Saccharomyces cerevisiae S288C: one gene and its partners. Changing the gene in region 1 together with any one later gene gives a genetic interaction. Each region holds a gene or a part of one and is shown in the gene's direction. Other genes may lie near its edges. The genes, in order: SET2, SWC5 and GIM5.

Region 1 (3,759 bases):
TAGAAGTTTTTGTGTAGTGTTTTGTTGATTATTTGTATTTAACGTACGACAACTTACTCTTAATCGGACTTGCTCAAGTAAACAATGTTCGAGAGATGAGGTCGTTGCTTTTCCTATTATTATATGAATAAAATTTGGGGGGTGGCTCAAGTTTCCTTCTCGTACTACCCGTAATTTCCGATCACGCATTTCTTCATTTTCATTGGCTTAAAAAAAATCCTTGGACTAGTCACGTGGAACGGTAGATCGAGAGATACTATCTTAAAGCTTATACTATATTATATTGGAAGTATATAGTTCTTATACATGGTCCTTATCTAGTTTGAAATCTAATGTTTTATCGATTAGCGTTAGTTCTATTTGCTTCTCTTGTAAACTTTGTTCAAGAACGCAGTTAAGACATCAGCTTTGAAGCCACGAGACTCATCGACCTGAGAAATTTTGGCCTTCAAATCCTTGGCAATAGACTCTTCATATTCGTGGTATAGCTGTTCAATTTTCAAGTCATTGAAAATCTTTTTGCATTTGGCTTCTGCGACTGAGTCCTTCTTACCGTAATTTTCGTCTAAAGTCTTTCTTTGTTCTGCGGAAGCAAGTTCCAATGCCTTGTTGATTACCCAAGAACATTTGTTATCTTGGATATCTGTACCGATCTTACCGATCTGTTCTGGGGTACCGAAGCAGTCTAAGTAGTCATCTTGAATTTGGAAGTATTCACCCAATGGAATCAAGACATCTCTGGCTTGTTTCAAATCCTTTTCATCCGTGATACCGGCAACGTACATGGCCAATGCGACAGGCAAGTAGAAAGAATAGTAAGCAGTCTTGAAAGTAACTATGAAGGAGTGCTTCTTTAGGGAGAACTTACTCAAGTCGACTTTGTCTTCAGGTGCAGTGATTAAGTCCATCAATTGGCCCAATTCGGTTTGGAAGGTGACCTCATGGAACAATTCGGTGATATCTATGTAGTATTTTTCGTTTCTGAAGTGAGATTTCAAAAGCTTGTAGATAGCAGCCTCTAACATGAATGCGTCATTGATGGCAATTTCCCCAACTTCAGGAACCTTGTACCAACATGGTTGGCCTCTTCTGGTAATGGACTTGTCCATCATATCATCGGCGACCAAGAAGTAAGCCTGCAACAACTCAATGCACCAACCTAGAATGGCAACCTTTTCGTATTCTTCTTGCCCCAATTGTTCAACGGTCTTGTTGGAGAGAATAGCATACGTGTCCACAACGGACAAACCTCTATTTAGCTTACCGCCTGGAGTGTTGTAGTTCAATGAGTGGGCATACCAGTCACATGCTTCCTTAGGCATACCGTAAGCCAAAAGCGATGCGTTCAATTCCTCTACTAATTTAGGGAAAACGTTCAAGAATCTCTCTCTCCTAATTTCTTTTTCTGAAGCCATTTCTACGTAATATTTTTGAGTTTATTGTGCCTATGTCAGTCCAATACCTGTTGGTTGAGTTTTTAAAGTTAAAATGAAAACTGATAGAAGAACAATCTATCATAAAGTATTAGTTTCGACATGCGTTTATATATATTTCCTGCCGTTGCTTCCTCTATTTATCGGTCTTTTTCAACAAGGCGTTTCGTTTAGAACCGACGAGAAGAAGCTGACTTCGACTATTGAAAAAAGAATGCTCAATGATATTGCTTGTCACTTCATCAGTATTTAAAATATGTGTAGAGGACGGTGAATATACCGCTTAGAATACCTCACACTGTATATCGCAGTAATAAGGACAGTATCCGTACTTTTACAGATTTGTCACGTGATCAATATCACCTTTAACGTTTTTTTTTTTTTATTCACTGCAAACATGTGAAAAATTCCAAGAAACTATTAGAATTATTGGTAATTTGGTGGTTATTTATCAGAACGTAAGGTCACGTTGGCAGCTTTTCAAAGGGGCTTTCGAACGTGTGATAGAAAACTGCATAGTCGTGCTGTCAAACCTTTCTCCTTTCCTGGTTGTTGTTTTACGTGATCATGTCGAAGAACCAAAGTGTGAGTGCGTCGGAAGATGAAAAAGAAATACTGAATAACAACGCTGAGGGCCATAAACCTCAAAGGCTTTTTGATCAAGAGCCTGATCTCACAGAGGAAGCATTGACCAAATTTGAAAACTTGGATGACTGTATATATGCGAACAAGAGGATCGGAACATTTAAGAATAATGATTTCATGGAATGTGACTGTTATGAAGAATTCTCAGATGGCGTCAACCATGCCTGTGACGAGGATTCTGACTGTATCAATAGACTTACGTTGATAGAATGTGTCAACGATTTGTGTTCATCTTGTGGTAATGATTGTCAAAATCAGAGATTTCAAAAGAAGCAGTACGCTCCGATAGCCATATTTAAAACAAAGCATAAAGGTTATGGCGTAAGAGCCGAACAGGACATAGAAGCCAACCAGTTCATTTACGAGTACAAAGGTGAGGTGATCGAGGAGATGGAATTTAGAGATAGGTTAATAGACTATGACCAACGTCATTTCAAGCATTTTTATTTTATGATGTTACAGAACGGAGAATTCATTGACGCCACAATAAAGGGTTCGTTGGCCAGATTTTGCAATCACTCTTGCAGCCCCAATGCATATGTTAATAAATGGGTTGTTAAGGATAAGCTACGCATGGGAATATTTGCTCAAAGAAAAATTTTAAAAGGTGAGGAAATCACTTTTGATTATAATGTGGATCGTTATGGTGCTCAAGCTCAGAAATGCTACTGTGAGGAGCCAAATTGTATTGGGTTTCTCGGTGGTAAGACTCAAACAGATGCGGCATCTTTATTGCCCCAGAACATCGCTGATGCCTTGGGAGTGACTGTTTCCATGGAGAAAAAATGGCTAAAGTTAAAGAAATTAAGCGGTGAGCCAATAATAAAGAATGAAAACGAGAACATAAATATTGAATTTCTTCAATCATTGGAAGTCCAACCTATCGACAGCCCAGTGGATGTGACGAAGATCATGAGTGTATTACTACAGCAAGATAATAAGATAATTGCATCCAAACTCTTGAAGAGACTTTTTACTATCGATGATGACTCTCTTCGTCATCAGGCTATCAAACTACACGGTTACACCTGTTTTAGCAAAATGCTTAAATTGTTTATCACGGAACAACCTCAGGTAGATGGAAAAGGAAACGAGACTGAAGAAGATGATATAAAGTTTATAAAGGGAATTTTAGATTTTTTGTTGGAATTACCAAAGACAACTCGAAACGGTATTGAGTCGTCACAAATTGATAATGTAGTAAAAACTCTCCCTGCAAAGTTTCCATTTTTAAAGCCAAACTGCGATGAGTTATTGGAGAAATGGTCGAAATTTGAAACATATAAAAGGATAACGAAGAAAGACATAAACGTCGCAGCCAGCAAAATGATAGATTTGAGAAGGGTGAGATTACCTCCAGGCTGGGAGATCATTCACGAAAACGGTCGCCCATTGTATTATAATGCAGAACAGAAAACGAAACTACACTATCCACCTTCGGGATCATCTAAGGTCTTTAGTTCAAGGTCAAATACACAAGTAAATTCTCCGAGTAGCAGTGGAATACCAAAAACGCCTGGCGCTTTAGACTCTAAGAAACATAAGCTGAGTGACGAAGAATATGAGAGGAAGAAACAAAAAAGACTGGAATACGAAAGAATTGCGCTAGAAAGAGCCAAACAAGAAGAATTGGAAAGCCTGAAGCAAAAGCTAAAGCTTGAGAATGAAAGAAAAAGCGTTT
Region 2 (3,435 bases), on another chromosome or scaffold:
GATTGTGTTCCATACTGTGACTACAACGCCGTGTATGTTTCACAGCGACTTTGACTGGCTACTGTAAGCTCTTCTTTTGTATTCTTTGGAATAGTTTATTTACATGTAATTACTGTAATAGCGCGCAGCCGAGCTAAAAAAAAAAAAAATACAAAGCTTTTGATCAATTTGTTACAAAGAGAAATAATTCCGCGTACGTATTTCTATTGATATTTATATATCTACATTCATTCAATTTATTACCTTTTCTTTTATTTTTTTTGCCTTTTGTAGTTTCTGTATTTTTATTTTCTATGTGTTTTTATTGACTAGCAGTATATTTAGAGGGGCGACCTTCTTTTACGTTCAGCATTTGATCTATCAATTTCAATTTTATTGCTAATCAACATAATAGCAGCTTGGGACGCCATGAACGTACCTCTTATGGTAAGTCTTCTCTCCGAAGAGCCTTCTACAGGATCTTGTATAATAATTGAACAACCTGTGGATTCCTTGACCGAATTTATGTGCTTGCCATCTTTGCCAATGACATTTCCGACAAATTTCTCATCTATGAATATCTCTTGTTGTACAAAGTTCATTAATAAATGGTTGCCGGGTGCCGGACTGATAACAGGGCCGTCTAAGACTGTCACATTAGGGATAACGAAGTTCGGTTGAAAGGCCGTTGCGTTTGCAACGCTAGCAGTAGTATACTGCGGTGTGGCCATACTCAACAAAGTAGATGATATTGGTAAATTTTTGTTGGGTTTGTATGAAAGTAGTTTATCGCTTGGATGATATTGGTGGTTTCTTTGATGGAAAATGGTGTTCGGTTGGCTATGGTCTATTAATACTGAGTTAAACTGAGTTGGCTGATAGTATATGGACCTTTTCACATTTTTCTGCGGAGATTCCATCTGAAAGTTTAGCAATGTTTGACTAATGTAGAAAGTAGCAATATGGATAGCATCCGGAACCCCGTTAATGGTTAAAATTCTATCGTTAGAAAGCAGCAATTGATTCGGGGACGCGAATAATTTTGCTGCACTCAAATCCTCAATTTCTCTTAACCGAGACCCACGTTTGCCAATTATACATCCCATAAGATGATGAGGGATCAATAGGTTGATAGAAATCTCAATGTCTTCCCCGTTATCTTCGTTACCATGTTCTTCAAGCAGCGCTCTTACTATCATGCCGTATGCCTTGGCTACATCATCGCAAGTACCCCTCACGTAAACAATTCTTTCAGGAACACCTCTGATATTATTTGATATGTTTATTCTAGCAGAGGTTTCGGATTTTATTCTAGATATAGTGGCGCCCTTGTGTCCTACTATCAGTGAAGCGTGTTTGACTAAGCACAGCATTCGTAAATGTACATCAGAGGGAACATTGTCGGGGGAATCGTGGTCGTTGTCAGAGTGGCTGTCTGCATCCTTCAGGGCCACGCGTTTGATTTCTGCTTCCAGTTGTTCCTCGCTGGTGTCTTCACCCTTTTTCCTTTTGAGCGTGTTGGGAGAAACGAGTACAGTAGTTGGTGTAGTAGTGATTGATGGTTTTGTAGTCTCTGTGGACATAATTGAGCTAAAGAGTATTACAGAAAGATTATTTAATGCCGCGCTGGACGATTAAAATTGTTAGAGTGGATGTGGCTATGGATAAGTTTGAATATGAAAAAGGTTACTTATGCGGCTAACGACTAGGTGCGTATTTATCGTTTGACGAGTATGTACGTGTTTTCTTTTGTATCATGATATTTCGTGTAAGTACCATATCGGGGAAAGACAAAAAAAAGTGAATTAAAGAGCGAAGTTTAAAGATGATGAATAGGATTAATCGACAAGTAAGAAAAAAGACGAAAAGGCGTAAACTGGAATAATATTGTTTCAAGAAAGAAAACCCACTAGCCTATAAATGCCAGAAGTAGAGACAAAGATTATACCAAACGAAAAGGAGGACGAGGACGAGGACGGCTACATAGAAGAGGAGGACGAGGACTTCCAGCCTGAAAAAGATAAATTAGGTGGTGGTAGCGACGATAGTGATGCCAGCGATGGCGGTGACGACTATGATGACGGTGTGAACAGAGATAAGGGTAGAAATAAAGTGGACTATTCGCGTATAGAGAGCGAGAGCGGCGGACTGATCAAGACTAGAAGAGCTCGGCAAGCTGAGGAAGAATATGCGAAAACACATAAGTATGAATCGTTAACTGTTGAATCGATCCCTGCAAAAGTAAACAGCATCTGGGAGGAGCTACAGGAAGCTAGTAAGAACCGTCTTTTGAGCAGTTCAGGGAAAGTCGGCTCTGTTCTCGACGGTTCCAAGGAGGCTAGGTCGACAACGGCCGCGCAACAGGAGGACAAAATCCTCATCGAAAGAAACTACAAGTTTGCTGGTGAAACTGTCCATGAGAAAAAATGGGTTTCACGCAGCAGTGCGGAGGGTCAAGAATATCTAAACAGTTTGAAATTTAAGCAGCAGGCGCCTGCTGCTCCTGTTCAACTGGAAAAAGCAGTTAGGACCAAGTCCAATGAAAGCCGGCAACACTTGCGACGGCCACTGAAAAGGCCTCCATTGTTGGAGCAGATCATTTCTGGCGGGCTACGACCCAAGCTAACGACATTAGAAAAATCTCAGCTGGACTGGGCTAGTTATGTAGACCGTGCTGGACTTAACGACGAATTGGTGCTGCACAACAAGGATGGGTTCTTGGCCCGGCAAGAATTTCTGCAGCGGGTCGGGTCTGCAGAGGACGAGAGATACAAAGAATTGCGCCGGCAACAACTTGCTCAGCAGTTGCAGCAGGATAGCGAAGCTTCATAGACAAATATTACATGTATTAAATAACATGCTTTTCTGCTCAAATTTTTTTAACCGCCGAGGCCTGCACACTTTCACTACGTGTATAACGATGCTGCAGACAAAGTAATGGGGTGTATGGGTGTGGGTGGCAAAAAAAACCTAGCAACGCTCTATGTTTCTTTTCTTTTTTCTTTCTTTTTTTTTTTTTGCCGTTTCCGATGGGCCACTCGGTGAAAACATATAAAAAGGGCTCTACATTCATTTTTTCATCGATGAGTACTTTACTTGTTATCAGATTTATTCATTTTGTTTCTACTTGTTTTTTTTTTAAATCCCCACGAATCTCTTTGCCTTTTGGCTTAGATCAAGTGTAGTATCTGTTCTTTTCAGTGTAACAACTGAAATGACCTCAATGAGGCTCATTACCTTTTAATTTGTTACAATACACATTTTTTGGCACCCAAAATAATAAAATGGACGGGAAGAGACTTTTTAAGCAAGTTGTTTTCCGCTAATGTCAGGTCTCACTACTTTTTGCTGCTATTTTTCTTCGCTCATGGTTTCTTCATAAGGCGTTTTTATGATGGTTTTTCGAAATTGGTTTTTGAGACGACGGTTGCTCAAGGTTATTGTTTTTGTTTTCTT
Region 3 (3,124 bases), on another chromosome or scaffold:
TTTGTCTTATTCGGTCACTCCAGACAACGAATTGTACGTCGCTAGTGTAACGGGGTCTGCTGGGTCCTTTCAAGATTGTATAGGTGGAGTTATTTATGAATATGATACACGAACTAAGTTGTTAAATTCCAATCAGAGGTCACATCTTCCATACGAAGTGACATCAGAGATAGATCTGAATTTCACATCATTGTCAGAGGTGTCTAAAAATTTATATGCTGTGCTACGTGATTCTGTAAAAAAAAGGGTAGAGTCCATACATCCCAGGCATATTGAAAACTCTCCTATTGCGGTACTATTCTCAGGAGGAATTGATTGTTCAGTAATAGTAGCGTTGATCTGCGAGGTGTTGCAAGAAAATGATTATAAATGTGGAAAACCAGTTATAGAGCTTCTAAATGTATCCTTCGAAAACCCCAGGACTGGTCTTTTTCCCAGTGATACACCTGATAGAAAACTGTCCATTAACAGTGCAAAGACTTTACAAAACTTATATCCTAATGTTGATATCAAACTGGTTGAAGTTGACGTTCCTTATGATGAGTATTTAAAATGGAAGCCATTTGTTATCAATTTAATGTATCCTAAACAGACTGAAATGGACTTGTCTATAGCCATTGCTTTTTTTTTTGCGTCGAGAGGTAGAGGTTTCTTAACTTCTCTGAATGGGGAAAGAACGCCATATCAGCGCCATGGGATAGTGTTATTCAGCGGACTGGGAGCAGACGAACTCTACGGTGGATATCACAAGTTTGCCAACAAACCACCCCATGAACTTGTGGAGGAACTTACAAGGCAAATAAACAACATTTATGATCGCAACCTGAATCGTGATGATAAAGTGATAGCTCATAATGGCGTGGAGGTGAGATACCCATTTTTAGATGAATATGTTATAAAGTTATCTACAGCAGAAATTCCCATTAATTTCAAGGTTAACAAATTAATCCTTCGAAAAGTTGCCTCGCAGTATTTGAAGTTGGATGGAATATCATCAGAACCAAAAAGGGCCATTCAATTCGGTGCTAAAAGCGCTAAAATGACAAAGGATGGTAATAAGCATGGAACAGATTTATTAAAAGAAAATAGGAATTGTTCATAAATTCAAATATTCAATATATTTTGCAGCTTGTTCAAAATTAAATGCTAAAAGTAGAGTAAATCCGTTGAACATACATAGTTTTGTAATGTCATTAAGGGTATCTTCAGAGTTGTTATCGTCTACTATGAATATCAGTATATTATTTTCGTTTCTAGATAAGGGCTGCATTCTCCTAGAGATATAATCGACATATAATTTGTGATAAGTCAAAGTTAAGAACAGTACACTTCTTCCACGAACTAGATAGTCGTAGTATATCATATTAATTCCTGTTGAAGATACATATCTCCAATTGGTGCTCTTTAAGTGGTTCAGGAGTGGATTTTCTTTTTGGGTAGTGTTCACTAGTACAGTTTTTCCCGGTCGAGTACTCCTGAAGGGTCTCTTTCGATTATAGTCATCTGTAGCCTTTGAGTCGGTCCATTCTTCCGGTTTTTGCTGATTGAAGGCGTTTATGACCTGGTTTGAATTTATGCGTCTTGATGTTTGCGGTTCCTGCTGCTGGAGTTTTGATGCATCTATTTCTAACGATTGAGATCCAGTAGTATCTGCACCACTCTTTTCCTTTCTCAATTTGGCCACACCAGCCAATATACTTTCAAATGAAGTAGGATCAGTATTGTTCATCTTCTAGGATAACCAACTTTGTTTATGCCCTTTTTTGTGTTGCGTGGCTGTCTCATAAGTTACAATTTTCTTTTTTGTTCTAACGATTTTAAATAGAAAAGTGTCTTAGATGAAAATCTTGCTGTGACCCAAACAAGAAAGAGCACTGTAAAAATCAAGCCATGTCCTCTCAAAAAAGTATGTAAATGAATAGCTCCTTCGTTGTTGCCACCGTACAGACACTTTACTAACTTTTAAGTTACTACATGTTCGAAACTTAGTCGATTTAACTAAACTAAATCCCGAGCAGCTGAATGCTGTAAAACAGCAATTCGACCAAGAATTGCAGCATTTCACACAGTCCTTGCAAGCATTAACCATGGCTAAGGGCAAGTTCACAGAATGTATTGATGATATTAAAACAGTCTCCCAAGCAGGAAATGAAGGGCAAAAACTACTGGTTCCAGCATCTGCATCATTATACATCCCAGGTAAGATTGTAGACAATAAGAAATTCATGGTCGACATTGGTACAGGATATTACGTTGAAAAGAGCGCTGAAGCAGCAATCGCATTTTACCAAAAGAAAGTAGACAAGCTTAACAAAGAATCTGTACAGATCCAAGATATTATTAAGGAAAAGACCCAGTATTCCTTGTCCATCGAGGCCCAAATAAGACAAGCCGCTATTAGACAGCATGAAGCGATGAGTAAACAACAACAGCAGCAACAAAAAAAGGAGTCGTCTACAGCCTAGGTAACTCTTTTGCTTTTCCTACGATTTTTCATATCTCATTTGTAGCCATCTGATATACGTTTATCTATATGCAACGTAATTTTTTATTTATCGTCACTTTGTAGTTTTCCGGAAAAGGCCATTGAAAATTTTTCAAATTCCTATGGCGATGAGCTGAAAAAATTCATTAAGTGTGCATTCAATAACATCTTGTTATATACTAATAAAAGAGGCTTCAAGACAAAATAAGCTAACTTAAATATGGCAAAAAAGAAATCTAAGAGCAGATCCAAGAGTTCTAGAAGAGTTTTGGATGCTTTGCAACTTGCTGAGAGAGAAATTAATGGTGAATTCGATAACTCCAGCGACAATGACAAAAGACATGATGCTCGTCGTAATGGTACAGTTGTCAACTTGTTAAAAAGGTCAAAAGGTGACACTAACAGTGATGAAGATGATATCGATTCTGAGTCGTTTGAAGATGAGGAGTTGAACTCTGATGAAGCGTTGGGCTCTGATGATGACTATGACATTTTGAATTCCAAATTCTCACAAACTATTCGTGACAAGAAGGAGAATGCAAACTACCAAGAAGAAGAGGATGAAGGTGGGTATACTTCCATTGATGAAGAAGATTTGATGCCACTGTCTCAAGTGTGGGACATGGATGAGAAAACCGC

The links.
Region 2: mutations in SET2 (region 1) and SWC5 together harm fitness more than expected from each alone (negative genetic interaction), as found in Saccharomyces cerevisiae (6 studies listed by BioGRID, with this or other methods).
Region 3: mutations in SET2 (region 1) and GIM5 together harm fitness more than expected from each alone (negative genetic interaction), as found in Saccharomyces cerevisiae (6 studies listed by BioGRID, with this or other methods).

What each region holds. Positions count from the first base shown.
Region 1 is NC_001142.9:102,670-106,428, reverse strand, and holds the start of SET2 (histone methyltransferase SET2), read left to right. Parts: upstream 1-2,000; coding exon 2,001-3,759. Other genes in the region: ERG20 (bifunctional (2E,6E)-farnesyl diphosphate synthase/dimethylallyltranstransferase), read right to left, coding at 357-1,415. UniProt on the Saccharomyces cerevisiae protein: Histone methyltransferase that trimethylates histone H3 'Lys-36' forming H3K36me3. Involved in transcription elongation as well as in transcription repression.
Region 2 is NC_001134.8:681,555-684,989, reverse strand, and holds SWC5 (Swc5p), read left to right. Parts: upstream 1-1,899; coding exon 1,900-2,811; downstream 2,812-3,435. Other genes in the region: DAD3 (Dad3p), read right to left, coding at 1-13; telomere maintenance protein PBP2, read right to left, coding at 321-1,562. UniProt on the Saccharomyces cerevisiae protein: Component of the SWR1 complex which mediates the ATP-dependent exchange of histone H2A for the H2A variant HZT1 leading to transcriptional regulation of selected genes by chromatin remodeling. Involved in chromosome stability.
Region 3 is NC_001145.3:80,385-83,508, forward strand, and holds GIM5 (Gim5p), read left to right. Parts: upstream 1-1,890; coding exon 1,891-1,906; intron 1,907-1,989; coding exon 1,990-2,465; downstream 2,466-3,124. Other genes in the region: YML096W (putative asparagine synthase), read left to right, coding at 1-1,102; DNA repair protein RAD10, read right to left, coding at 1,097-1,729; UTP14 (Utp14p), read left to right, coding at 2,706-3,124.